Linked DNA regions of Rattus norvegicus. The protein of the gene in region 2 binds, or shares a complex with, the protein of the main gene of each other region. Links are inferred from orthologs where the notes say so. Each region holds a gene or a part of one and is shown on either strand. Other genes may lie near its edges. The genes, in order: Anks3 and Anks6.

The links.
Region 1: the proteins of Anks6 (region 2) and Anks3 are in contact, whole or in part, in a crystal structure (PDB 4NL9), measured with the Homo sapiens proteins. The link is inferred for Rattus norvegicus from reciprocal best matches to the Homo sapiens genes ANKS6 and ANKS3. Residues at the interface, in NP_775822.3 of Homo sapiens: Glu796, Gln797, Glu798, Val799, Asp800, Glu802, Ala803, Thr806, Leu807, Asp811, Glu814, Leu815; in NP_597707.1 of Homo sapiens: Lys441, Tyr442, Thr470, Leu471, Phe472, Gly473, Pro474, Arg476, Lys477, Arg484.

What each region holds. Positions count from the first base shown.
Region 1 is NC_086028.1:11,119,986-11,124,429, reverse strand, and holds the start of Anks3 (ankyrin repeat and SAM domain-containing protein 3), read right to left. Parts: upstream 2,870-4,444; 5' UTR 2,803-2,869; intron 1-2,802. UniProt on the Homo sapiens protein: May be involved in vasopressin signaling in the kidney.
Region 2 is NC_086023.1:66,132,457-66,136,265, reverse strand, and holds part of Anks6 (ankyrin repeat and SAM domain-containing protein 6), read left to right. Parts: intron 1-894; coding exon 895-939; intron 940-1,909; coding exon 1,910-2,114; intron 2,115-3,251; coding exon 3,252-3,358; intron 3,359-3,809.

The DNA.
Region 1 (4,444 bases), on a different chromosome or scaffold from region 2:
TTTTCACTGGTAGCAAAACAGTGCAAGTTGGGTTATTTAGCACTATTTGCTGAATTTGGGTGGGCGGCAAAATTGAGCTCTGTGTCTAGCTTCTCCAGTTCCTAATTCCTCACTTATGGACATGTGTGTATAAAAGGTTGTTGCTAAAATGCACGGAAGCTGTGTGTGGTGGCATACCTCTGTAATCCCAGCACTGGGAAGGTAGAAGAAAGGCAGGGAGACTATGAATTTAAGGACAGCCTGGACTATACAACAAGTTTAGGCCAGTCTACCTACACAGAGATCGTCTCTGAATAAACGCAAGAGTAAGTAAGACCAGAAAGGTGGCTCAGGGGTTGGTCTTACCGAGGACCCAAGTTCAGTTCCTTGCACTTACTATGTCCAGTGGCTTACAACCTCCTGTAACTACAGCTCCAGCGGATCCAATACTCCTTTCTGGCTTCCTGGATCTGCATTCGTGTGTGCACATACTACCCCCAAGATACATGCATACACAGAATTTCAAGTCTTCTTAAAACAAACCAAGGCAGGAGAGATGGCTTCGCAGTTAAGAGCACGTACTGCTCTTACAGGGGACCCGAGTTTAATTCCCAGCATCCATATGAGGCAATTCACAGCTGCCTCCAGGGGATCACACACACATAAAGGTCAGGAATGTCATGCATTTGCATCTCCACAAACCACATGGAAGGCTATATGTGGTGATGCGACTTAATTATGGTACTTGGGGAGATGGAAACAGGACTGAGTTCCAGGATAACTAGGACTACAATAGTGAAACCCTCAGAGAAGTAAAAACCAAAAATAACAAAAAAACAGCCTGGGCAGACAGAACTTGCCTCAAAAAAAAAAAAAAAAGGGGGTGGGGTGGGGGGAGGACAAGTAGGGCAGGGGAAAAGAAAACCCTAGTAGACTGCAGAAGGCAATCCTGATGTTCAGCAAATGCTACCTGAGCAGGAACCCACCCACACAACCCTTTTAAGTAGGAAAGATGACCACAAGGAGGGCAAGTGTATGGTTAGGAGTGCTTTATTCTGGGTAAGCCTACTCAAACCAAAGACTAGCCATTTATCTTCTAGCAGACTCTTACGTCTAGGAGCACAGGAAGCTAGTACAGAACAGGAAGAGATGGGAGATGTCAGGTGCCCTACTGCATAAGACCTTGAGTCCTGAGTCCAAGCCCTAGCAAGGCAAAGTGTTGGGGGGGAAGGGGGAGAGAGAAGAGATAATGGCAGTTTACTGTGAGTAGGGCCTTAGTTTCACATTCAACTTTCACATGTGCAATGGCCACTGTTTTGTTTTGAGAAAAGGTCCTACTGTGTATCCCTGGATAACTTAGAACTCAAGTTATAAACCAGGCTGGACTTGGTCTCATAGATAGTCTTTGCTGAGATTGAAGGCATCTGCCTCTATACTCAGTCACTGGTCACTGGTACTACGCATCCATGGGGCCACCTCAGTGACCTCAAACTACTTTAAGTGGCTGAACCCCTCCAGGACTGAATCACAGTGCTCTGGTAAGGTTATTACTCTGAGGTTGTAACTGACCCTAATCTGATCTATCAGAGTCAAGAGCAGAATAGAAGGATGGGAAGACCTGGGCTTTGGCACTGAGCCTACCTGGGTCCCATCAGGGGTGGGGGTTAGGGGGGTCAAGACCACTGCAGCAGTGGCCTCAAGGACACAGAGCACCATAATATCCATACTCAAGAGGAACCCAGAGGAAGCCTGAAGGAAGTGTGTACCCAGAAAGTACTAATTCCCTGCTTTTAAACACTCTAGCATTATTCTGTGTTGGTGAGTGCCAAAAAGGGGGGGGGGGGGTAGAAAGATCTGTCTTTCTGGTTGAGGAGCTATCTTAGTGATAAATATCATATATACACAGCTTGCAAGGACATATTTTAAAAATTGAATTATAAAAAGGACAACGTACAAATCACTAATCTGGGGAGCAGCTTGCAAGCCTCATGGTGAGTGATGTGTGTAGGCTGGTGAGGTGAAAATCAAGGCCTGCATTCTGGAAGCACTAGCTTCTCATGTTGCAACGCCTGAACTCAAGTAGTACCTAACCTCACTGGTGAAACCGAGTCTGAACCAATAGTGGACACATGCTGGCCTAAAGGTGCAATTTTAGCAGATAAGCAGAACCCTGGAAGGGCTCACACCTGTAATTCCGCTCTTGGGGGTGGGGGTGGGGGTTGAGAAAATAGGACCACTTTTGAGTTCAAGGACAACCTGGAATACATGAGATGCTTACTCAAAAAACATACAGCCCACTAGCGTAGTGGCTCAGGCCTTTAATCTCGGCACTTGGTGGCAGACCTCACTGAGTTCGAGGCCAGCCTGGTCTACCCAGCGAGACACGCCCACAATCTCAAAAAAACCAATACCCAAAAAATCGATTCGAGTAAAATAAAGGTTTGTATGTCTTCTGCACCTCGCTTCCAGAATTTCAGTAACAGCACTGACGTTACTCTTAAATTTTTTAAGTCTTCGTTTAAAAAAAAAAAATCTATTCTGGAGGCAACTGTCACTCCTTCAAGAGGTTCGTGAAGGCCTCGAGGGAGCCCCTGTAGCCCAAATGTGAGACGCGGTTCCGGCCCTATAGCGGTCCCGACGACCGTGCACGACCGCTGGCTCCCGTGTGACTGTATAGTCTGGCAGGTACCTCAGTTTAGCAACACGGAGCCGGGCCCGCGTCCCCAGACCCTGTGACAGGCAAGCGCCAGGGTTGACCGTCAAGGCGGCCGCGGGGCGCCTCGGGCCCCGCCTCTCAGAGGGCCCCGCCGCGGCCCGGCCTACCTGCAAGGCCTCAGGTTCCCGCGCCACCCTCCAGCAGCAGCTGCACGCTCCCTCACCGGCCAACAGCCCTGCGCCCGGCCCACCCCGGAAGTAATTGTCGGGCAGCGCAGAGCACCCCGGGAAGGCGACGGGCGTTCTGTTATTGACATCCCATAGCAGCCAATGAGATGGCAGATACCGCTCATTGCTCAGGAGCCAATCCTGAGACAGAGAGGCGGGCCGTGCCGGGCGAGGAAGAGGCGAGGAGGCGGGTTGTCGGGCTGCGCTGGGTAGCTGTGCTTAGCCCGGGCTCAGGGCAAGTGGACGAGCGGAGCGGACGAGGCGAGTAGGAGACCGCGGAAACCTATGCGACCATGTGTTGGTCCCAGCTGCGGGTGGCAGGGAGTCGACCCTCCCCTTTGCTCTAACACAGGCCGGCTTGTCCCGCTGCCTTCCAGTCCCCTTGACAACGACGCCTGGCGTGGCGCGGCGCGGGGCGGGGCGGGGCAGAGCGAGGCGAGACCAACTGGCTTTGAGGAGAAACACTGAGCCCCTCGGTCTTCTCAGCTCCTTCATGCTCTTCCCCCTGCGAGTCAGACCTTCCCTCAACCTCAAGGTCTTGCACACCTAAAGGACGACCAGTCTTGGGCGGCCCCCTTCACTTTGGTGATTCTGTACCGTACTGCCAAAGCCCCTGTTATGAAGCATCCTTTGCGTATACCAAAAGCGTCTTCACCTATGGTTCCCAATTCAGGACCGCCAAGCACACGTCCTTTTTACAATATTCAAAGACCGGGGTTGGGGATTTAGCTCAGCGGTAGAGCACTTGCCTAACAAGCGCAAGGCCCTGGGTTCGGTCCCCAGCTCCGAAAAAAAGAAAGAAAAAGAAAAAAAAAAACAATATTCAAAGACCTTAAGCCCCCACACACTCCCCTGATGCTGCTCCGGTTCGACACCGTTAGCTGATCTGCCTGGTTCGCTAGGCCCTCACCCCCTAATCCTAAAGTCCCTCTTTCGAAACCCTGAAGGCTGAGCATCTTTTTTTTTAGGGTAAGATACAAAGGGTGGAGCTGAGCCAGGAACTGGATTATAGGGACTCATTTGAATGATGACAAACAGAATCGTATAATGGATCTAACTTCTAAAAATTATTTTTGATTTTATTAGTTTTATTGTAATTATATGTATGTGTGTGAAGGTGGGTATGTATATGTGTAGTCTAGCGCAGGTACCAGTGGACACCAGAGACATCGGCTCTCCCTGAGGTTGAAGTTACAAGTAATTGTGGTTTAGGGCTGTATTCCGATCCTCTACAAGAGTAGTTACGAGGACATCGTAACTGCTGAGCCATCTCATTCCTTTTCTCAATGCTGGGGATTGGACTCGTGTTCTTCTTACATGGAGACAAATGCTCCACTAAAGGCTCTCCCAGCTTTCCCTTAACTTTAATTCAACCTCTCTAAGCATATAGAATGGAGGTAATCGTGTTCTTAAAACACATATATAAAATCTCCAAGTCCTAAGGATTGTGTATCTATACATACACCATTTGTATCATACACACCTCCATTTACGTGCCATTAAGCACATCTCACACATGTGCAGACACCATGGTCTTGTGCACTCATTACTGCACACACCCACACGTACAGTAGCATAAGTT
Region 2 (3,809 bases):
GCCCTGCTGTTCTTGATATTGAGAGTCACGGAGTTACTCCATGCAGCTTGGCTGGGGTGGCTGCTGGGCCAGTTAGCACAGTGGTACTCTATAGGCTCCATCTTTCTGAAGCACCTCCTTCCTACGCCACCTGCTGCTCCTTGGGACAACTCCGTGGCACAGATGCTGATGTTAATGGGACAGCCTGTCTAGAAACATGCATGCTAGCTCACATGGAGGTCACTCACTGCTCCTCCCAGGCAGCCCAGAGCCAGAGGTGTCCCTCATGGCGTTCAGGAAGGTGCAGGAGTCCTGCCCGTGAAGCCCAGCATGCTGACTGGCTTTAGGGAAGGTCTGATTGTGGGCAGCTGCTGGGCCAAGTGTGGTATGAGCCTGTGGAGGGAGGGAGGGGCGTGCACTGGTGGGCGTGGAGTCACAGCACCAGGTCAAGGGTCAGAGCCAGTGTGAACATGTCTGATGGACGGTTGGCTAGACAGTAGTCCACAGACTGGTAGGGCACCCCACTCAAGTCCTTAGTGTCTGGAAGGAAAGGACAGATGTCGTTGGCTTTTCTGGGGGCCACAGTCATTACTTCCAGAGCTCAGTGGTTCAGTGTCACAGGGTTCTCTGACCTCATACTTAGCTCATTGTAGTTAGATTTTAGAAGTTTCTTTTTCAAATTTTTATAGAGTGAACTTTTTCCAAGGCCATACTTTTGATTAACCTAGGTAAATACACCCCACAATGTTTGCAGAAGTCTGAGGTGACAGCTACCCAGGAGGGCTGTCACATAGTCCCCTGCTCCCAGCTTCTGCCCCATGATTTTTAAAGCTAGCCTGCGCTCTGACCCCCTGTGGCTTTAGAGTTCTGTTAAAACTTCTCCTTGGTTGATTCTGGAAATCTCTGTTTACCCAGATGAGGAGAAGAGGCGACCTGATATTTTCCACGCCCTGAAGATGGGTAAGTGCTTCAGAGAGCTTCTGGATGTTGCCGAGCCCAAGCCCCACCCTCCCTCCAGCCTGCCTGTCTCACCGATTCACCACCGGCACAAGGAATCCGATAAAGAAATGTGGTTTTGTTGTTCGCTTTTATTTAAAAATATTTTTTTAACTTCTGTGATGTTATAATTTACTCTCACCGGGGAGGGTGGGCCCCGGAGGCCTGTAATTTATTAGTGTTCTGTGCACAGGCTCTAGAGCACTCTCCCAGTCCCTACCATCCCACCAGCTAGATGTACCTGGCTCTTTCTGCGAGCCCCAGTTTTGTTATGACTGAAAGACTCTTTAGCCCAGAGTTTCCACCTGCCTGTGTGCGTGCATGTGTGTGGGGGGGTGGGGAGGGGGAGGAAGAGGCACTTGTGTGGCACTCCATCATGCGGAGGTCAGAGGTCAGGTTCACCATTGCTCACCTTCTTTTCTTACCGTCCACCCAGAGCCAGGCCAGCAAGCTGCTGGTATTTATTCTCCTGTCTCCTACCCACCTGTAGGAACGCTCAGATTATAGACACCTACACTACATGCCATGTCTGTCTTTCATGTGGGATCTGGAGATTCAAACTCAAGTCCTAAAGCTTTCATGGGTAGCACTTTTACCCATACATCTCCCAAGCTCCAGGATTTCCTCTTGATGCAGACACCACCTTCGGGCAGCCCTCCTGGATTCCCGTTCACCATCTAGACCCTTATTTTCTCTCTTCAGTCCTGTGGCCCTTCCTCACTCTCCCTACTCTCTGAGACACAGATAGCACCTGTGTTTGTTCATCCATCTGTCATAGGTAGAGGGATCTGAGTAGGGCTCCTTCTGACCCACCTTACTGGCCCCGTGACCATAGCAGAGGCAGAGTGAGCCATTGTTCATCACGAGAGACAACTGAATAAATGATCTTGTGGTGCCAGGGGCTGTGCATCACCTGGACTCCTGCCGTTTGCAGGAAACTTCCAGCTGGTCAAGGAGATTGCTGACGAAGACCCCAACCACGTGAACCTGGTCAACGGGGACGGGGCGACCCCACTGATGCTGGCTGCTGTCACGGGACAGTTGCCCCTGGTACAGCTGCTGGTAGAGAAGCATGCAGACATGAACAAGCAGGACAGCGTGCATGGCTGGACGGCCCTCATGCAGGCCACCTACCATGGGTCTGTGTCTCCCACCCCCTTCCGCATGAGGCCAAGCAAGTGCTCTGGCTGGGGCCTGGGGTGTTCTGACCCAGGATGCCACCTGTAGCCAGCCCAGGGCTGTGAGGACATTGAGGCCTGCAAAAAGATAGAATGAACGTGGGCTCCATTCGGCCAGCCTCTGTCTTATCCAGGGCACACGCCACCCTGCCCTGGCTGTATAAACCCATACAGCGGGTGCACGTTAGGCAGAAAGATTAATTTCCCGTTTGTTTCCAGCTTAACCATGATTGGTCATTTGGCATTTTCACATGATGGATCAGAGACCTCCATTAAGCATCCCTTCCATGATCTGAGCAGTGGCCACAAATACCTGGGCTTTCATGAGCTCACACTGGCGGTCATCTTGACCTTCCCCTTTAAAGTAATGTGATCATCCCAGCTAAGTGGGCTGTCACTTCTGCAGGCCCCTCTGGGTCTCCCCTTGCCTGGTTCAGCCAACCATGTCACACTCCTGTATCGGTTCTCTTATCCGATGAGCCTCAGATCCTTGACCCTGCCAGAAAGTTCTGTGGACAGGTAGGTGTGGTGGCTGAGCGCTTTGCTCTGGGATTGTATTGTCATTAGGGAGGAACAGTAGGACTGATGGGAAGCACATTCGCCCCTGACCTGCTGAGTGACAGGGTGTGATGGGCCACGTCCCACTTAAACACTGGAAGGCTGTGTGCCCCGGTTAATGTTGGCAGCCTTGTTGTCCGGGAACATAGCCACACTTTTCCCTGTCACTTGCTGGATTAGCCAGTTTTCTGTCACTCTTAACAAAATGCCCAAGGCGGTTAATTTATAAAGAAAAGGTTTAGTTTGGCTCATGGTTCTGCAGGTTGCTATTCGAGATAGAGCAGTCCTGAGGCTTCCAACCTCTGGGGAAAGTATCCACGGCATGGGCAGAGGGCAAGTGTCTAAGAAAGTGCTTAATCCAGGAGGCAGAGCCAGAGGCCCCTAACCCGCCCTGAGGGCACATACACAGCGACCTCTGTAAGGCCCCCCTCTGATAGCCCACAGCGCCTTCCTGTGACCAAGCCTTTGCATATGGGCTGTAGGGTGATCAATCCCCACATGAGAGTAAGGAGTCTAACTGCGTGCCTCTTTGCTCCCCAGAAATAAAGAAATTGTAAAGTATCTGCTAAATCAAGGGGCTGATGTTACTCTTCGAGCCAAAAACGGATACACGGCCTTCGACCTGGTAATGCTGCTGAATGATCCTGGTGAGTCAGCCTCCATACCCTTCCTCCCCCGGGCACCGGAGCCCGCCTCCCTTCACTGTGGAGTCTGTGCTGATTCTTAGAAGTCTGTCTCAGGGATCAAGGGCCCACACCACGCTTTTGGGTCTCTACGCTAGCCTTCTTCCAGCACTAGCAATCCCAGAGTTGGAGAGACAGGGCAGACAAGGGCATGCGACTTTGCAGGCCGTCAGGACCTAGAACCATCCTGTGGTCACAGTCAGAGATACTAAGTGACTTTGCAGGAAACATCAAGGGCCTGTGACAGGGAAAGCTGAGTGGAGAAGGAGGCCCATTCTTCTCTGGTGGTTGTTGGCCCTGCTGTCCCCCTCCATGCCTCCCCTGCTCTGACTGGCCCTTTTCCTAAGGTCCAGGGCCTCCAAAAAGGGGCTGCATCTCTGACATATCACTCTCTTGATTACCCTAGAGGTTCAGT